4 linked regions of the Caenorhabditis elegans genome follow. The protein of the gene in region 1 interacts with the protein of each later gene in a pairwise test. Each region holds a gene or a part of one and is shown on either strand. Other genes may lie near its edges. The genes, in order: flh-2, ztf-28, F21A9.2 and egl-13.

Region 1 (5,586 bases):
AAATACATTTTTGAATCTGAAATTTTTTTGACTTCACTTGCGCGAGCAATAGATTCAAAAAACTTAGAACTTTAAAAAAAAAAATGAAAGTCTTCAAAAAATCTATCTTTTTTGGAGCCTGATGTTACATTGTCTTACTTTTCTTGTAAACTTGAAAAATCTAGATCTATAACCACTAAATTCAGTGAATATTTTCATTTTTCCCATCCATCACCTTTGTTTTTTGCCGTACTAGGTGGTGATGGTGACACGGGAATATGGAGAAAAAAGAGGCGTAGAAGAAGAAGAAGAAGCGGTGACGATAATAGGTACGTTGGTCTAAAGAAAAAGAGAGAAAGAGCTTGTTTGGGTGGTCTTCTTTTCTTTTTTTTCTGCTTCTACTCTCGCTCCCCCGTCCTTCTCTCACTCCACCACGAGCGCCTCTATTTTGACTGGCGCCGCGTCGGTCATCTGACTGCTTCTCTCTTTTTTTCATTCTTTTTCTCTTTTTCTCTCTATCCATCTTTTTTCGGCGCGCGCTTCTCCTGGCGCTTCTCGTGGGCTCTGGGAGTCAGGTCCCTTCTGCTTTTTGGCTCCGCTTCAACGGAGTCATTGAGCTCACGAAAAGGGCATTCCAAGTTGGTATTTTTTGGTTTAATATTTATATTTTCTAAAAATTTAATTATATTGTTATTCATATAGTTTTTTGTAAGCTTAAAAAATGATTGTTTTCGTTAGTATCTAACCACATTGTAATAATTGAATATTTAATTGTTTTTTCCGGTCAGGACTTTACATATTATTCATGTTAAGCTAACTTTACAGATAATCATAAGTTTATGAAATTAACAAGAAAAACCGCAAGTCTTGTACAATACTTTCGCAAGTTTAAGGGTCTGCAGACCGGCCTGGGCTTATGATTGCTCTTAGGATTAGGCTCAGGCTCAGGCTCAGGCTCAGGCTCAGGCTCAGGCTCAGGCTCATGATGAGGCCTAGGCTTAGGCTTAGTTCGTTTTTTTTCAGATTGTCTTGATTTCTTAAAATTCGCGTCATTAGACGAAATTCCCGCTAGGTATAGGCCGCCTCCGACTGCGTTTTTACTTTTTTGACCAATCTACCATCTAATTCTAGGGTTCTTTCATTATCTCTGTCACTTTTTCATTAAATTTGTATCTTTCAAAAGTGATGAATAACTGAGTTAAACCAACACAGCATGGCGCCAATAAATCGTCCGTCGCCGCGTCCTCCTCCCTCTCTCCTCCGCCGCGGCCGCTTCCCGACGCCATTCCGCATATATTTAGTGGATTCTACTGATGTGGAGCCAATGGAAACCGGGAGAGGGGAGAGGCTCCAAACCGGCGGACGGACCCCTGCTGCGACCAGCTGGCGCCTGGCGCGACCATTTTGTTCCCCCTCACTGCATCGTTTACTACTAGTGCAGTCTCTGTCAAAAGAGCACACTCTCTTCCATTTTTTATGTTTACAACAACTCGAAGAGGGCAATCTTAAACTATTCATTGGAATTTTGGAAAACATCGGAACATTATCTAAATATTTTTAAGAAGTCTACGAATTTTGAACTTTTTGAAAAAAAGCAATCTAGCAAAATATTTTCAACTAAATAACTTTTTATCATATGTTGAGGAGGTTTAGAAAGATTGAAAGCACTACAATTAGAGGTGAATTGGAATGTCCTTGTTTGCTCTCTGATTAAAAAAAATACAAGTTCTAGTAAAATAGTTTTGTAGATCCCAATCCAAACCAGAGAAAACTCATGATCTCACAATTTTGGAATAACCCTATCATATTTTTTCAATTCTCCGATGGTACCACTTCCTTTTCTTCTATTGCACCTAAATATTAATATTCCCTTTACTTTTGTTTTTTGTTCACCTTAATCGCAATTGTCACTTAATTCCTCTATTAGTACGCTTCTTGCATCTCTTGGATTTGTTATTCAAATGTTCTAAAACAATTGAGACATACCGTGTAGATAGTTTTGAATTCATCGTATTTTCCATTAATTTTCCTCTTTTCAGACCGCCTGTATGGTGGACACCATGATGAACACAAATACAGATGGTGTCACAGCGGTTCCTCCGATCTTTCCACTACCGTCGACGACACCAAACAGAAATAATAATAATGAACTGGCGATGTTGGCACAGAAGCAAATAGTCGCCGGATTACTGTTACAACAACCAACGATTGTGCAGGCAGCGGTGAATGGAACCAATTCGCAAAAACATTTGGCAGATATTGACTATACGAATGTTATTCAGGTGAGAGATGGGCTCTTTGTGGTTTTGACTCCTTGATTAATATATTGAGTTATAGATGTGAAATTGATTCTCTTGAAAGACTTTTTAGATATTCATGTTCGAGTAAGTCTATCTGTTATTTTTCAGACTCTTCAAGCCCTTGGCACTACAAATCTAAAAGCATTCTCTCTACTTCTTGATCCACAATCCCAAACATCTCAGTTAATATCTGAAGATACACGTCCATCTGCCAGCTCATCACCGTCTTCAACTGCAACTGCAGTATCTAACAGTGGACAATCAAACGCAACATCCACGTCATCATCGTCCACAGAACCCGAATATAAACCGAGAAATGTGCGAGAAAAAGTGTATGCAGATGGATATATCATGTCATTTGATAAGAAATCGTGTTGTGGAACTAAAGAATTTTGGAGATGTGAACGAAAGAATGATTGTAATGCAAGAATGCATTCAGATATCAATACACGAGAAATTGTGAGAAAGTTACATCCACATAATCATGAGAAACCGTCGCCCGAAGAACTTGCATTTTATGAGCAAGATTTCTCTACTCTCCATCCAAATTATTGTCATCCAGTGAAAAGTGTGAGTTTTTTTGAGCTAAAAGATTTATGGTGAATATTCAAAACTTGAAATATTCAAAATAGTTAGAAATAAAAAGTCGAGAAAGAACGAAAATGTATGTACGCCGAAACGTTATATGTATTTCGATTTTTACTAATCGCCCTGCTTGAACTTCCTCTAAAATGATAAATGTTAGACCAATCAGCGATTCGCTCCGCTCATTTTCCAACCAATCAGACGGAGTGGGCGGAGTTTAAAGACGCAGTGGGCGTGGATTTTCATCGCGGGGGGTTACAGGGAAACCAGCCAAAATAAAAAAGTTTTTTTTTAGTTTTCGGTAGATCCTGTAGGCAGGCAGGTAGGCACAACACTTATTGTTAATAAAACATTCGGATTATGTGTAACTGCTAATTTCATGTTTTTTGATTTAAGAATTCCAAAATTTCCCAATCTTTTTTAAATTGAAATCTTTTAGATCAACCGATCCTACATGCAACGAAAACTGAGCCGTGCCTCACATGTATCACAAGCTCTACCAATTGCTCCACAACAAATTAAAGCTGAACCAATGGAAGTTGACACGACAAATCAAACAATTCAAAACTTTCAACAAAACAATAATTTAATGCTTCTCGCCTCAATCAATGCAGCAGCAACTGCGGCTGCAGCTGCAACTTCTGCTGGAATAAGTCCGCCGGTTGTTGGACAGAAAAGAGTATCAACGACTGTGATGCCTATCACTTTGAAATCGGTTTGTTTTTCTTGAATAATTATGCTTTGTTCAAACATCATAAGGTTGGAACTTTTCAAAACTATAGGTTTGAGCCAGAAAAACGGAAATGAACTAAAAAAAATGATACGAATTTCTAAAATTCAGGGCCAAATTCGAAAATTTCGAACAACTTTGGAATTTCTTAATATTTTCAGCAACGCACAACTCCTAAAGAAGAAGAAGATTCATCTCAATTGATGTCACAAGAAGAATTCCGTATCACTTACGAATTGACCAAAAAGCTCATGGAAATGATGAAGCCAAAAACTGAAATTGGAGTTCGATGGCAAGGAGATGAAGGGTCAATTCTTTTGTTCTTATCACATGATAATGGAGCAGAAGAGAATGTCTTCTTTCCGGTGGTTGTCATGAATCGTGATGAGGTAAGTAATATAATTTCTGGAAGCCCGAAAGACTGAAAGCAGAAAACAATCAACAATTATTTCCTAAAAATTTATAATTTTCAGAAATCCCTAATCACTGCGTTAGAAGGATTCACTGGCAAACGTTGCGAAGGAAAACTTGCTCTGTGTTACTCACAGAGGGTTAATGTGCTTGTACATGAAGCGGTAAGCGAATCAATTTTCTAAGACTAGACATGAGCCCTGGTAGAGTTTTGCTACGTGGCGGTGAATATGAGAAAACTCTTCCACTTTTCGAAATTTAGCATTGATTATTTGTATTTGTTGTAGGGGAAGCTCGAAGACCTGTGGGAAAGCTCGAAGATTTTTTCGAAAGTTTGGCAGTTTGTCAAATTTATCCTACAAAAAATCTAAATCAAGTCATTTTTTTCTAAGCATTTCTGAACCTTTCAGCTAATCAGCAATTGGACACACGGAAAACTATTTCTCGTCAACACTGATGCACCGGCTCTCTGGCGTCTAACGCCCGTCGACGCTTTCGGCGAGCCTTTAAACCATGTCTAAGTGATCATTATTCAATTAATCGATAGTTTGGAGTCATGAAATTATAACTTGACCGACTGCAACGTTTCGCTGCACGCTACATTTTATTAGTTGTCATGAACCTATAATATCGAGCTCCCGGAGCAATCATATAATTACAAATTGTAAATTTTTTTTTAAATTTATTCCAGCCATTTTCCCCTCTCAATACCTCTCCCTTATCTTGTCTCTATAATCTTGTCTGTTTCTCAACAAAAAAGCTCGTCGTCAGGTCCCCCATTTCCGGATCTCATTGTGAACTTTTCAGAAAAGTTCGCAAATTTTCATATTCCTTGTCAATTCCAATCTCTATGTCTCCCTTTTATTGTGCTCTTTCCCCCTTATAAAATTACGGAAACCACCCTCTCCAACTCAGGAAAAAACCCCCTTTATATGCTCCTTTTCTTTTGATAAAATGATATCGTTCAACTAACAATTATCCCCTGATCACTTACATCAATAAATTGTTTCTATGAAATAAAAATATATATAAAGTGGACAATTGAACATGAATAAGTAAAAAATGTTGCTATAATGTCACCATTGTGTTCTAGCATTAGTATGTCTAAGTCCATGAAAAATTGAGTACCTAATCGTAGCAAAGAGATGAGAAATAACCAATTTTGTCATCAAGTTCCGAATTCATCAAAAAATATCACAAAAGAGCTCCAACATGCTCCAACAAATACTCATCAAATTTCGTGACATTTTTGTCGAGTTAGAATCTTCAAGAGCCGAATTAATAGATGTTGCTCCTCTAGTAAAAGTGAGTGTTTGTGTTTTATATGACAAAATTAGTGTTTTTTTAATTTTGAAAACTATTCTTACAGCTTGTCGATAAACTCGGAACACGGATGTTCAATTGTTAACTTTTCAGACTGGCGGTCCGCATAATTATGGGCCACCCTGTAGTAAGGGTCGGTCTAGACTCCAATTATACATTATCAAAAATATGTAGAAAGAACATGACGCTCATACAATTGTGGCTGTTACATTGACGATTACATCAAAAACGTTGCTAGGAAACAAATTGAAACGTTTT
Region 2 (3,469 bases), on another chromosome or scaffold:
AATGCGGTGTGCGCCTTTGAAGAGTACTGTATTTTCAAAAACTCTGGTTTTTTTATCGATATTTCATACCTTACGCAGCAACCCGAGTTTAAAGTTACAGTACTCATTAAAGGCACACACTTGCATTCAACAAAAATGTGTCGTGTCAGGACCGGGAACCACAATTTCAAAAGTTCAAATTTTAAAAAATTTCAGCACAATTTCCCAGCCAGAATTCACCAGCTTAACCTCCTCTCTGCCCAAAGATGATTTTTATACGAACATCGTATTCCAGTGCTATAATCAATCATTTTATCACATTCGAGACGCCGGCCTTCTTTCTGCAGAATCCACGTGTGTAAATGCTTTTGATTGTGAGCTTTCACAACGAGAAGCGATGCCGTGTACCCATTCAGATGCCACGTATCACTCCGGGCCGCCCATGTTTCCAATCACATTCCATTGGGCGAGTGATGCATTCTTTAGTGATGAGATTGGATGCTATCAGTAATTGGATCTTTTTTTTAATCAAAATAATGTATTAAAGCTTATCGAAAATTGAAAATGTAAATTAACATAACATGAAAATCAAAAAGTGAGCAGTGAGGTAGAACTATAAACATAATGAAGACACTCGAACATCAACGATTACTCAATTTCCGGCTTGATGCGCTTTTCTGGGATCATGGCTGGCTCGGCTGGCTGGATCTGAAAAATTATTTTTTGAAAATTTATCTTTAAAAAAAATGTTTTAATTAGCTACCTGCTGAGCTTTCTTGTAGCTCTGAAGCGCCGTCGCAAGAGCATTCGCACTTTCGATGATTATGACCCATGTGTCGACTTCAGTGATCTGCTGATCGGTGAAAAAATTTCTCTGTAGAATTGTGTCGACTGCATTGTTGAAGAATCTTTTGTACTCGAGAGCTTCTTCATTGGGCTCTGGCTCTGGCTCTGGCTCCAGCTTCAGCTCCAGCTCCGGTTGGGGCGATCCTGAAGCGTCGCGGGAAGATGAGGACGTTGTTGAATTGGAAGTCGACGGCGACAGAGACTTGTTCAAAAGACGATTAAGCTTGAAGCCGGCTCTTTGAATTGGCGATTTCAGCAGTGATCCCGGTGAATTGCCGGATTTCGCAATCGGGTTGGCGTCTCCTGGAGCTCCGGTTTCCTGTATGGCCTTTGCGTGTTCGGTGAGGGCTTTTTTGTTGGAAAACGTCCAGTTACAGCATCCGCAGGTGTATACTTGACCCAAGTAGTGCTCATTTCTCATGTGATCACGGACGGTCTCCTTCAGGTAGAGCTTACGGGCGCACAGCATGCAGGTGTACTCGTCGCTATGCACCAGTTTACGATGGCGGTTGAGAGAAGCGCCGTGCTTGAAGTTTTGGCCGCAGGACAAGCAGAGGAAATCGCCTGAAAAATGGAAAAATTAATGTTTTTTTTTAATTACAAAAAAAAATAAAATAAAACTCACCTCTGAGATCCGGCCGCTTAAGCTCGCTTTCTTCTTTGCGAAGCAGTGACGATTTTTCAGCGAATTCCGTTTCGAAGCGGTCGATAAGGGGCTTGTGATCGGAAGTATCCATGAAGCTGATTTTCTGAAAGAAGAGGACATTTTGAAGAAAAATTTTAGAATTTTACATCAATTTACACTCAAAATAATAAAACTGCGTTGCGTGTACGCCAAAATAGGCCCCGCCTTTTTCTCGTTCACTCACGGGGAAAAGGCAAAAAGCGGCTGGTGTAGCCAATATCAGCAGCCGACATCATTCGAGGTCCGCGCACCACACTATTTTTCTCACTGTTGGCGTGGCGAGCTGTCCCCCCCCTCCCATATTTTTGCCTTTTTCCCGTGAGTGGACGATTAAAAGGCGGGGCCTATTTGGTCGTACACGCAACGCAGTTTTATTATTTTGAGTGTAGAAGAAAAAAGAATTTTTTTACTGACCTACAAAATTTTTGCAAGGATAGTAGACTAAAAAAGCTTCTCACTAATCACATTAATCATATAATTAATAAATAATATTTTTAAACGAAAAAAATCTGTAAAATTAATTAATTCAGGGTCGACGTCGTTTAAAAGTGTTACTTCTTTGTTTCTACGCTTGTAAAGTAGGTTTTCAATCGATTATTTGAATTTATCTTAATTTTTTCTTTATATTTCAAAAAAAAAATACACTGAAAACATGAAAAATCGGTGAAAAATGAGTGAAAATAACAATAAATATTTAATTTTAAATAAAAATAAAAACGTGCAAGCGCGCTCCATCGAACGAATTCTCTTGGCGGTAATTCAAATTGCAGTTCGGGCAAAACTGAGATTTTTCCAATTTTCAAAAAGTCATATAAAATTTAGAAAAAAAAATTGAATTTTTTTACTATGATATTTGGCCATTGTGACACTATAGGCATGTTTTAAAGCAATTTTCCCACTGGCGCTACTTTGTGATTTGATTTATTTCGACATGAAAAAAAAGGAATACAAAACCGGTACAGTAAGTTACTGCAATTTCTTCATTTCAAGACCCATAAATATGCTCAGCCATATTAGCAACTTTATGCACCAGAAGCTTCTCCAGCTCCCTATCCAGCTCGGTTATAGTGAAGTTGTCGCCGTAAATCCAACCATTTCCGATACTATTTCTGACGGAGGTCATTCGGTAGTGTCTGAAAATGTCAGTGTCGATTTACGCGGCTCGTGTACTCCTCGAGGACAAGTGTGCGTTTTTTGGCAAAAATTTCCTGATTTTTGGCCATTTTCGGTAATTTTTTCTACAGAATTTCCGCCTAAAACACTAAAAAATTAGAAAATTCAGTCTAAAATGCTCACTATTTTCAAAAATAATACACAAAAATCGGCAAGAATTTCAGTAAAAATTCAAAAATCTCTGCAAAAAACAAATGCACACTTCTCCTCGAGAAGTACACGAGCTGCTGCTTGAATTTACATATGACCGTGTTATTATACACACGCGAAACTTTGTGATTTTTGAGCTAAAAATACGATATCTGGTCTCGACACGATAATTTGTATTTTCGAAGAGGTGTGCGCCTTTAAGGAGTACTGTACGTTGGTGGGCTCTTCATAGTTCTTCGATAAAAAATATTATTCTGCAGAAAACAATCGAAAGAAAATTCCACTGCAACAAAAGTTTGCAATTACAGTACCCATTAAAGGCACACACCTTTTAGTATTAAACAAAACATTTTCGTGTCGAGACCGAGTACCATATTTTGGTCCAAAAATCGCAAACTTTCACGTATGTGTAAAACCTACCTAAACCCGGCAGTCTCCCTGGGAACATTTTTCACGATAACGCCGGGATACTGTAGATGAGTGTGATGGTAGGTTTGTACGGCGACCATTTCCGGGCGGTATATACTTTTTGAAGATTCCCAGATTTGAGTTCTAGTAGTGTTCCGGAATTTCAGCGCCTCCAGGTTTTCGATGGTGTCTTGCAGATTGGTGAATTTCTGCGGTGAGTTTTCGGTT
Region 3 (5,474 bases), on another chromosome or scaffold:
TAGTTTTATCACCGCTTTTCCTTTTTCCTACATTTCCTGAACCTTTTTTTGCTTTTCAGTGCCTCCTGCCACGTCATACATCTGCAATCAGCTGATGTTTTGCAATCAATCGGTGTCGTTTAGTTTTTTTAGTTGAAACTGATAAGAAACCCTATCAGCACATACTCCACTGATTCAATTCAACTGATATGATAATATCACACAGGCTCACTTTCTTTTTCCTCTTCCTCACATTTTCATCAGTAATAATACATTTTTATCACTTTTTTGAGTTTTAATTCGAAAAAAACCGGTGGCACTTTTGAATTTTTGACATTGCCACGTGGCGGCTTTTAGAGAGAACTGTGAGAATACATACTTTCAGTATTTTATTTTTTATAGTATGCACTATCCTGATTTTTCGTGAGTTTTTTTCTGAGAAAAAATTGGCACATGTTTTTGCGTTTCGGAAACTGTCGATAACTTGAATTTTGCATGAAAACCTTGATGGCCGAGATTTTCTCTCTCTCTCTCTCTCTCTCTCTCTCTCTTGGTCATGCAGTAAAACCGTCATGATTATTGTGCGGCCGCGGAAATGAAAGAAAAAACTCGGCCGCCGATTTGCTGCTACACGATCGTGCACGAACATCTTTTGAACTCTGCTTTGGGGTTTTTTCTCTTTCATTTAAAATAATTCCAATTGATATTATATTGATAAAAAAATAAACGCGTATTTAAGCGGAATGGCCTCGCTACGCGCAACCCATTGATTGAAAAAAAAAAACATTAATGAGTAACGCGTGGTGAGACCATTTCGCATAAATACGTGCGCCTTTGAAACCGTAGAAGAAGAAAATAAAGTTCGCTGTATAGCTATAGCGTGTATATAAGTGAATTGCACGGATAGGGCGCGAGAAGGGCGAAGAGAGAGAGAGAGAGAGAGAGAGAGAGAGAGAGAGAGAGAGGCGCCCCCGTCACGCCTCAACCTAGTGAAATGTCTACAGTCGACAACTGGGAACATCCCTACATGTATAGTTAAACTGAATCACAGATGATAAGAGATTGTGGTAACTGATTAAAGATAAAAATTGGGGTAGATAATGATCAGTAAGGAAGACGGCGATAATTGAGATATTCGGTAGGCAAAAGTCAATGTTATAATATTACTTTACTATATAGAGCTTTTAATTTTGAATCAGCCATCTATGAAAATATTCTAGAAACATCTATGTACCTTTAAACTGTTGAAGTGTAAGCACATTTAATACGCAAAAAAATAATTACCGTAGCTCAAATTATGCACTAAGGTAAAAGGCTTCAATCTGACAGTACTTTGGAGATTCTCATAAATAATTAATTTCAAAAACAAAGCAATATTCAGAAGTTTAAAACATTAGATTTTCTCTATTAAAATTTCATATTTTGCTCTTAAAGCACCTGCCAACTCAATGCATCACATTTCACGCGCAATGTTCACTACTCAACTTTTCCTCTCAAATCTCTACTAATCTAATATTCATTCCAACCGGAGATTCAATCTATTTCAGTTGTTCAGTCACTTCATCTGCTCTTCCCAATCTTCCTTTTGTCTTCTTCTTCTTCACCTTATCATCAAAATCTGTGTGACTCGGAGTGCCGGAGCACGCACAACTTGCTCTGCGCCCCGCGTTGTCCCTGAGATCTTATCGCTCACTCGAGCCCATCTTTCTTCGTCGGAAGCCTCTTCTTTCGTTTTCTCATTCGGCCACTTCATTTATATACAATGGATGTAAACCAATCGATTCTGCATAATACAATAGCTAGCGTGAGTTACAGTAGATTTTTTGATTTTTGCTTCAAACCCGGTCTCGACACTACAAATTTTTGTGAAATGCAAAAAGGTGTGCTCTTCTAATAAGTAATGTTATCTTGCACCTTTTTCTGACAACTTGTTGAAATTTGATTTGTTCTTATTTTTATTATCGGTTTTCTTATGAAAGGTGAAATTACAGTACAGTAAACTCAAAAGAATTAAGCGTTGCGAGACCCAAAACGCTACATTTGACAAACAAAAATATTGATTAATGAATAGGGAAATGATGATAAATATAAATTCAAAATTACAAAAATAACGCAAAAAAAATTAGAAAATTAAATTTACACATCGCGTAAAACTTTTTTTGTTGAATATTGAGGACTGAATTATCATCAAAAGTTTGCAGTCAATACGAAAACAAGTTATGACCGCACCAATCGAGTTTAGATGTGGCGATTGTGTTGGACCGTATTCTGTGAGCGGCAATGGACAACTGTTGAGGATTACTGTAAGTTAAAGCATATACTGTAAGTTATAGAAGTTGGCGCAATATCTGTAGATCAAAACTGGATTCTGACTACCGGTGGGTTCTCAAATTTGCGCGTAACTTTTGGCGCATTGAATTCTTCTGATTCGACAGACACAATACACCATATTCCCCGCACAAATGCACCGTAGAACCTCCTTAATTTCCAGCTCTCCAACTTCACCGGTGAATCGATGGGTTTCGAGATGGAATCGAATCCAGTGACGCGGAGAATTCAAGCAGCCCAAGGTCCACTTCTAGCTAATTGTGTCATTATGCAGACAGGTATGCGAGCCACACGACATGGCCTAGAAATTGAAAACTAGGCCACCCAAACGGATATTTTTGCACTCAAAGACAATTCATGTCCTGCCTAGCTTTCACTAATTAGTCCACCAAACGACTTTTTTGAAATTTCAACTTCACCTAGGCCAATGTTTCAGGTCCCGTGTTCACAATTCTTTTCACAAAAAATCTGACGACCGTGGAGCCACTTCGAGCCATTCTTGTCGCTGATATGAACTATCGTCTGGAGCAAGAAAAGTTGGAGAAAAGTGAGCTTTTTTGCTTTTCGAAAAGAACTGCATTTCGAAATTTCAGAACACGAATGTCCACACTGTCACGTGGCAAAATTCAACTCCCTTCACAATTTGAAAGTTCATGAAGATTTGTACTGTAGTAAGAAGAAACTCGGAAATGTAGTTGAAAATGCGGATTCTCGAAAACAACAAAATGTTATTTTGTTGCCAATGGCGTTTCATGACCTCTTTCAGCAGAATCCCTTTCAGGTAACTCAGTTTGAAAGCTAGTTGTTAATTTCAATTGAACTTTTAGGTAGTGGGTCCTGTTACTATTGGACGAAATTCGGCATTAATCAACTCAAATCCTTTGCTCATTCATAACAAGAGAAAATTGGAAATGCCAAACTTTTCAACTTCGAAACTCTCCGTGCAGATTCCTATTATCAATTTGGATGAGAAGTTGGTTTTTTCTTTTGCAACACAGTCTTATTATGCAAGCGCGCTCCACAGATAATTAAAAACGCTCCGCCCCGAAATGTGGGGTCCTGCACGTGGTGTCAAACAGTCTCATTGCACTTTGATCTACAAAAAATGCGGGAATTTTTTTCCGGAAAAAATGTGACGTCAGCATGCTCTTAATCATGCAAAATCAGATGAGATGTCTGCGTCTCTCCTCCCGCCATTTTTTGAAGATCAAAGCGAAATGGGACTTTCTGACTCCATGTGGTCCTGGTAGGAATTGACGGCAAAATCCAAACGTTTTCAACCATTTTTCGACTTTTTTGCTGTTTTTCATGATATGTATTCATGTCAAAATGATGTTTGAAGAATGCATTTTTATATCATCATTTTTGAAATTAAAAATAATTAAAACGACAGGCGACAAAACATAATAATTTAAATTGATAGTTTTGGCGCCGATACCTATCGAGACCCAACGTTTAGGGGCGGACCTTGATTTCAAAAGGAACATTTTTAACCTTTATATAACGGGAATACAAAACTCAGAATGCGACAAATGTGCGACAAATTTGACGCGAAAATATCTCGAAGCGAAAACTACTTTAATTGACTACTGTAGCGCTTGTGCCTATTTATGGGCTTGTTCGCATATATTTTTGAAAAGCGGCAGTGATATTCCATTCGTTTCTAATTTTTAATATTCTATTGATAAATAATTCATTTCGAAAAACGATCCCGTAAATCGACACAAGCGCTACAATAGTCATTTAAAGAACTACTGTAGTTTTGATATTTTGCGCGTCAAATATGTTGCGTAATACGCATTTTCAGAATTTCGTGTTCTCGTAATAAATGAAAATCTTTTTTATTTTATTTTTCTATTCAGGAATGTAAGAACTTCAACTCCTCTGGATTTATCCTCATCACCCCATGCACCAAGTGTTCCATCACTCTCAGCCAGTTGTTCTCCAACTTCAAAAAGCTCGAGCAGTGAGCCAATCTACCCGGAAAGACCATTCTCGTGCACTTGTGGAGTCTCGTTTTCGTCTCAGACCACGTATGACGCGCATAAGCAACTGTACTGTAGCCACACAACTCGTGTATCATCTCCAGGTGGTGGACCACACAGAAATGATTCTTTGAGAAAGGTGAGATACACTTTTATTTCTCAGTTTCTTCATTTCCCAGTTTATCAGTTTTCGTGATCTCTCCGAGCCTCTTTCTGATTGCAATCTTGAATTATGGCGAGCCAGTGAAAGAGAGCTTGTGCACAAGCTTGAGTTGAGAACGAAAAAAGAAAGAAAAAAAAGGAGATTTGTAGGTACCGGAGAAGTGTACAAAATGCGATTTTGTGCCGACATCGTCCTCGCAGCTATCTATGCACATTCGATCATCGCATCAGACAACGAAGACATTCACATGTTTGGTGTGCGGCTACCGAGCATTCAGTATGCGAGGGATTCGTACGCATATGAGGTTTGGGGGAACTTATAAGTAATAATCAAGTAAATCGATGTGTTTCAGATCTCATTCTGACGATGAAGCTTTGAAATTCAAAGCCAATGAGCCCGATGAAACATGAATGGATAAAAATATATTTTAAGAAATTAGACAATTTATTTTCAGCTCAATAAACGGGTTTTAATAATTGTTTTGTTGCCAATTTGAAACATACTTTCAAAGATATTATTGGGCAGCAGAAAATAGCGCGCCTCATAGTCAAGTGAAAAGCTCCGCCCTAAACGACGGGTCTCGTTAGGAATTGGCGGCCGGAAACCAGAAATTCAAATTATTTTCGCTGATTTCGCCGGTTTCAAGAGTTTTTAGACCTTTTTTGTAATTTTTTCTGTTTTTAAAAAATTATTTTTTAATGTCAAAAAGAACATATAAAACCGAATCAAACGAGCGTATTCATTTTTCAATTTCAGATACGTTTTTTTTTATATTTTTATATTTTTATACCACATAAAAATCACGAAAAAGAACAAAACAGTTGAATAATGTTCGAAAACGTTTGAATTTCTGGTTTTGCCGCCAATACCCAATGAGACCCAACGTTTGGGGGCGGATCGTTTTCATTTGGTGTTGAAACGCGTTTGCACCTCGTTTTCGATTTTTTAAAACTCCAATTCTCAGGCAACTCAAATCTAATATGAAAATATTAAATAGCAATATTTTTGTAGTAAATACG
Region 4 (4,573 bases), on another chromosome or scaffold:
CAAATACTTCAATTTCACCTTCCCGCGGGACCGTTAGTATCAAATTCCACAATTCATCGATGTTGCCCTTGGATAACTTGTTGTTGTGGGGATGGAGGAAACAGGGGCTAAGAATCGAAATCTATGAGCAAGGCCTGGTTAAGCCGATTATAGTCTAGAGCAGGATGGATCAAGGCCTATTTGTCAAATGGGAAAGGGCATAATGTTCGTTCAATATTGAATATTACAAGAGCTCCGTTTTGGTTTGACAACAAAAGATAGGTGTTATTAAGTGTGATATATAAAAGAAGAACAAGTGTGACAAGTGACTCCTTCCGCTGATTTGAGGTCAGTTTTTGAAAGAAAAAATTTTCGCAACAATTTCTGTTCAAGATTCGTATGAGAGTGGGACGAAAAGATGAAAAACGGGGGAACTTTTGTCGTCTTCCAGGAAGATGCAACAATTGACAAACATCTTGGCAGGCATTGTTCCATCAAGAGCTCGGGGTTCCCTGTGTCTTATCTTCCTATCAAAGATTTCAAACACGAAAAACGGATAGGAAAAAGTGATACTACGAGTACAAACGTTAGTTCGACGGATATTTTCAACACGTTCAAAATGGTGATATTTGTGGAATCGTTTCTCAAGGTGTCACACACTCTACTTACCATCAATTAACGAGACAATAGATAATCAAATAATGTCGGGGCAGGTGACAGGTTAGCAATAGTTGAACACCTAATAGAACATACGTCTCATGGCTTTGTTCCGTGTATCCGGGGCGCCGGTGACAACTGGCTCTTGTGGCGGCTGAACCTCGAAACAACGGTGCTCTTTTTCTCTCGATGTCACACTTTTTGAGAAACTGAGAAACTTTTCGTGCAATACAATGGAGCTCTCATTGCACTTTTAGTTTGGGACAAAAAATGTTGATAGGCTTGACGAGCGATGAGACACTGGGACAGTGGGACAGCGCAGATGTTTGATGAGCAGGAATGATGTTCGATTGTAGTGTTTTGCGAAGAATTGTTGTGTGATAAGTTTATGAAAAAAAAGTTAAGTCTCATGCACAACAAATAAGAAAGATTTCAAAAAAAGGTAAATCAAATATATTAGGTCTCCAAATAAGTTCTGGGTCAAAAATCATAACTTTGTTCGCTGTGTATCGATTTTCATGAAACTCTGGGAATTTATGTTATCAACTATAATCTTTCATTTAACAATAGTCACGAAATTTTTTGACCGCCCCAAGTGTCCTAACTCGGAGCCAATTTTTTCAGGCATTTTTCTGATCTCGCTTATTTTCAGCTTTGAATTGAGGGTTGTGTGCGGATTTTTCTTTGTTTAGAATACATTATTAGAAAACAACAAAAGTTTTGAAAAAATCCGTCCAAAAAAATTTTTTTTGGTTGGTCGTCAAAAAATCTTCAAAAAAATTTTTTGTCGAAAATTCTAGATTTTTCCTACAAAAATGATGTAACCATGAACCTCAATTGAAATTTGAAAAGAAGCGAGATCAGAAAAATGCCTGAAAAAATTGGTTCCGAGTTAGGGCACTTGGGGTGGTCAAAAAATTTTGTGACTATTGTCAAATGAAAGATCATAGTTGATAACATGAATTCCCAAAGTTTCATAAAAATCGATACGCAGCGAACAAAGTTATGACTTTTGACCCGGAACTTATTTGGAGACCTAATATACCACCAAATATTTCTCTACAGTGTGCCCAACGTCTATAGCACCACCCCACTAATTTGAGAGTTTGGTGTTTTTGAAAATATTTTTTGAAAAGGTGTTAGTACAGTTCAATAGAAAATGTTGAAAACCTATGGTCCTTGATTTTCACAACTTATATCTCAAAGTTTAGTTCGAAATTTTAACAATAAACGAGAAAATTATGAGGAGCCGAGAACTGGCCCCTGTCAAAAAATCCGATGAGTGCTATAGAAGTTGGATGAATGTTTTTTTTACAAAATTTTTACTTAATTTTCAGGTATCATCATAAAACTGGGGGAGCATATCCTTTGCAGCATTTGCTATCAAACTGTGCTGACGTTTTTTTCTGAAAATAATTTGGAAGCACCAAACTCCCAGATTAGAAAAGGGATGATATAGACGTTAGTTGTAATGTATTAGTCTTGTACTCTCATTGCTTTACTTTGACAGCTTCTATCTCGGTTGGCAAATTATGTGCAAAATGTTTTTGTACATTTCAACAGTAAATAATTTTTTGGTAAAACTTAAGAAGACTGATATACGAGGTAAATCCATTGGGGTGCAAGTTTAATACGGAAAATGCGGTTTTTAACTACAATCAAGTATGTCAATGATCACTCGCATGTTTCTCCCTTGAAGCTCAAGCTGAATAGAGTATGGTTTCAATAGATTCTCAATAGAGTATTCAAAAGAAATAATTGACATATACACCCTACCAAAACTGCAAACACAAGAGCAAGGATAATTCATCATCGAGATCTCCAATTATCCCTTACAGTCTGTCAAGAATACATGAATATTTGATAAGGTAAAGTATGGAAGAAGAAGGATAACACAAAGGATAGATAGAAAAGAAGAAAAAACAATTATTTATGGAATTGGCAGTGCCCATAGGAGGCACATGATGATAAACTCGGAGTTAGCTAGGATATTAAAGGGATCATGAGCAGTGACGGGTGCGGCGATTTGGCCTACTATTATTATGATCAACAACGGCACACGACAAGGAGAAAATAAGACTAGACAAAGTAATAATTCTTTGAAATCTGTCACCAAATCTGGAAGTGTTGCTCTTGCTCCAAATGCGCAAATATAGGCAAAAGTGTGAGAAAAGTAAAGTTGGTGAGGAAGAGAATACTTACCAGATGCTTGCTGGTGCAAATACTTGTTCTACTTGTTTTGTTATTTCAATGAAAAAGCAAAACAGTGCTCACAACATTAAAAGGGGAAAGAGCATGGCACAGTAGAAACTAGAACGGAAACTAGTTCTTACTCACCACTATAGAGCCATTCGGGAGATTGTTGTTACTGATCCAGCAGTATTATGGAGTATTGATTTTATTTGGAGTGTCTGGAATTTTAAATTTGCGTTTGTAAATTCAAGCCTGAAGAAAACATTGAAAAAGAAGAATCAAAAGCGTTAGAAATTGAAACTAGAGAAACTTAAAAAGGCCGATTATTTGAGTTCAGTGGCATTATTAATTCAAACGATTCACACGCGCTGAATGAATTGTGAATTATGAAGGAGAACAAAGATATTGCACAGATATATATCAGAAATTCCTTTTCTTCAATTGAGGATAGTCTCACGATTTGTCCTTTGAGGGTAAGAAGAAAAAGAAAAGAGAAAAGGTTCAAGTGAATAAAAGATGGGGGCAAAATGGAAAAATGAGAAAAAAAATGTTTGGTTGAAAGTAGAAAGCAACACTTAGAGAAACATAAGTTCAGTAGTCAAACAGAAAATATAACTAGTTGTCCCACAAGGAAGCCTATGGTATTAATTTTTTGTTTTGGACTGTTCACGAAATTTCATTGGTCACTAGTTTCAGACATGGTGACCCAATTGAACTGGCAATTTCAGACAACAAACTTTGAACCAAGAGAAGAAGAGAGAGGGAGAAAACAGGAAAAAGCTGGTATTGGTTGTCTAGGTGATTGGAAGAGGGAACTGGTATCAGACAAGTGGTTCAAGGTAGTTGTGTTCCATCACACAATGAAGAGAATGAAAGAGAGTGACCACCCCACCTGAAAACAAAACTGACCACGCAATTTGTTTGTCCTCTGAATCGTCTCACAATAAGTTACACACTGTGCCCTCTTCTCTGCAAAGTGGGTGGTGGTGGTGTGTTGTCGGAGAGACACGGTGGGGACCCGCGCTTCTTCAGAACTGGATGTGTTGACCAATGGCGCAAAAGTTTTCCAAAGAACGCGAAATGGTAATAGGTCGAGAACCACTTGCAACAATTCCATAATGTTTCTTTTAGTTGACACAATGCACCTACTCAACCTCGTTTCGAAGATTCGGAAATGCATTTATGATAGACTAAGAGGGCATCGCAATACGAGGACGGGAATCAATCATAATGTATTTTAGGTGGACATTTTAGCTTTTGACAGTAAAGAATATTGAAACACACTGAAATTGTATTTCAATATAGCCTAGAAATTTTAAGTAGGCCAAAAAGTTCTAACTATAGTGAGAGGTTATGACATCTAGGAACTTGGAATATTAAAAAAAATCTTAGTTACTACATACAACAAAATCCTAGAGTATACGAACTCTTATATAAGTCTATATAAAATAAGGTCAAAAGGCTATCACAAATGAAACCGTAAAGATACGGTTTTCTAGTTCAAGAATATACAGAGTCGCCCATAATTATGGCGACCACTTTGCAGTAACTCAACGTTTCTGTTTTTGGAACGAGATATTAAAACAAGTGAACTTACACAGTTATTAACCACCCTGAATAACTAGGTAAATTAAATAGGTTTGCATATTTAGAATTGTTAAAAACACAAGAACTGAAAAAACACATCGAAATGTTAAAATTTTAGATCTATGCTTGAACTTGAATTTGAGATTGAGACATTTAG

What was found.
Region 2: the proteins of flh-2 (region 1) and ztf-28 interact in a two-hybrid assay, tested with the Caenorhabditis elegans proteins (one large-scale study listed by BioGRID).
Region 3: the proteins of flh-2 (region 1) and F21A9.2 interact in a two-hybrid assay, tested with the Caenorhabditis elegans proteins (one large-scale study listed by BioGRID).
Region 4: the proteins of flh-2 (region 1) and egl-13 interact in a two-hybrid assay, tested with the Caenorhabditis elegans proteins (one large-scale study listed by BioGRID).

Annotation. Positions count from the first base shown.
Region 1 is NC_003281.10:4,950,106-4,955,691, forward strand, and holds flh-2 (FLYWCH transcription factor 2), read left to right. Parts: upstream 1-2,018; 5' UTR 2,019-2,027; coding exon 2,028-2,261; intron 2,262-2,387; coding exon 2,388-2,849; intron 2,850-3,303; coding exon 3,304-3,579; intron 3,580-3,755; coding exon 3,756-3,983; intron 3,984-4,067; coding exon 4,068-4,169; intron 4,170-4,415; coding exon 4,416-4,526; 3' UTR 4,527-5,066; downstream 5,067-5,586. UniProt on the Caenorhabditis elegans protein: Probable transcription factor. May bind to the promoters of target genes, including micro-RNA genes, in order to repress expression, and acting redundantly with flh-1 and flh-3.
Region 2 is NC_003283.11:2,088,774-2,092,242, reverse strand, and holds ztf-28 (C2H2-type domain-containing protein), read right to left. Parts: upstream 1,575-3,469; 5' UTR 1,563-1,574; coding exon 1,451-1,562; intron 1,390-1,450; coding exon 743-1,389; intron 688-742; coding exon 628-687; 3' UTR 503-627; downstream 1-502. Other genes in the region: gtnt-26 (Glycosyltransferase family 92 protein), read left to right, coding at 196-490; gtnt-27 (Glycosyltransferase family 92 protein), read right to left, coding at 2,496-2,643, 3,254-3,469.
Region 3 is NC_003279.8:3,705,488-3,710,961, reverse strand, and holds F21A9.2 (C2H2-type domain-containing protein), read left to right. Parts: upstream 1-1,526; 5' UTR 1,527-1,741; coding exon 1,742-1,783; intron 1,784-2,180; coding exon 2,181-2,282; intron 2,283-2,470; coding exon 2,471-2,585; intron 2,586-2,743; coding exon 2,744-2,854; intron 2,855-2,900; coding exon 2,901-3,088; intron 3,089-3,134; coding exon 3,135-3,280; intron 3,281-4,169; coding exon 4,170-4,431; intron 4,432-4,604; coding exon 4,605-4,759; intron 4,760-4,807; coding exon 4,808-4,865; 3' UTR 4,866-4,932; downstream 4,933-5,474.
Region 4 is NC_003284.9:5,662,311-5,666,883, reverse strand, and holds the start of egl-13 (Transcription factor egl-13), read right to left. Parts: upstream 3,048-4,573; 5' UTR 2,974-3,047; intron 2,520-2,973; exon of another isoform or gene 2,380-2,519; intron 397-2,379; exon of another isoform or gene 204-396; intron 1-203.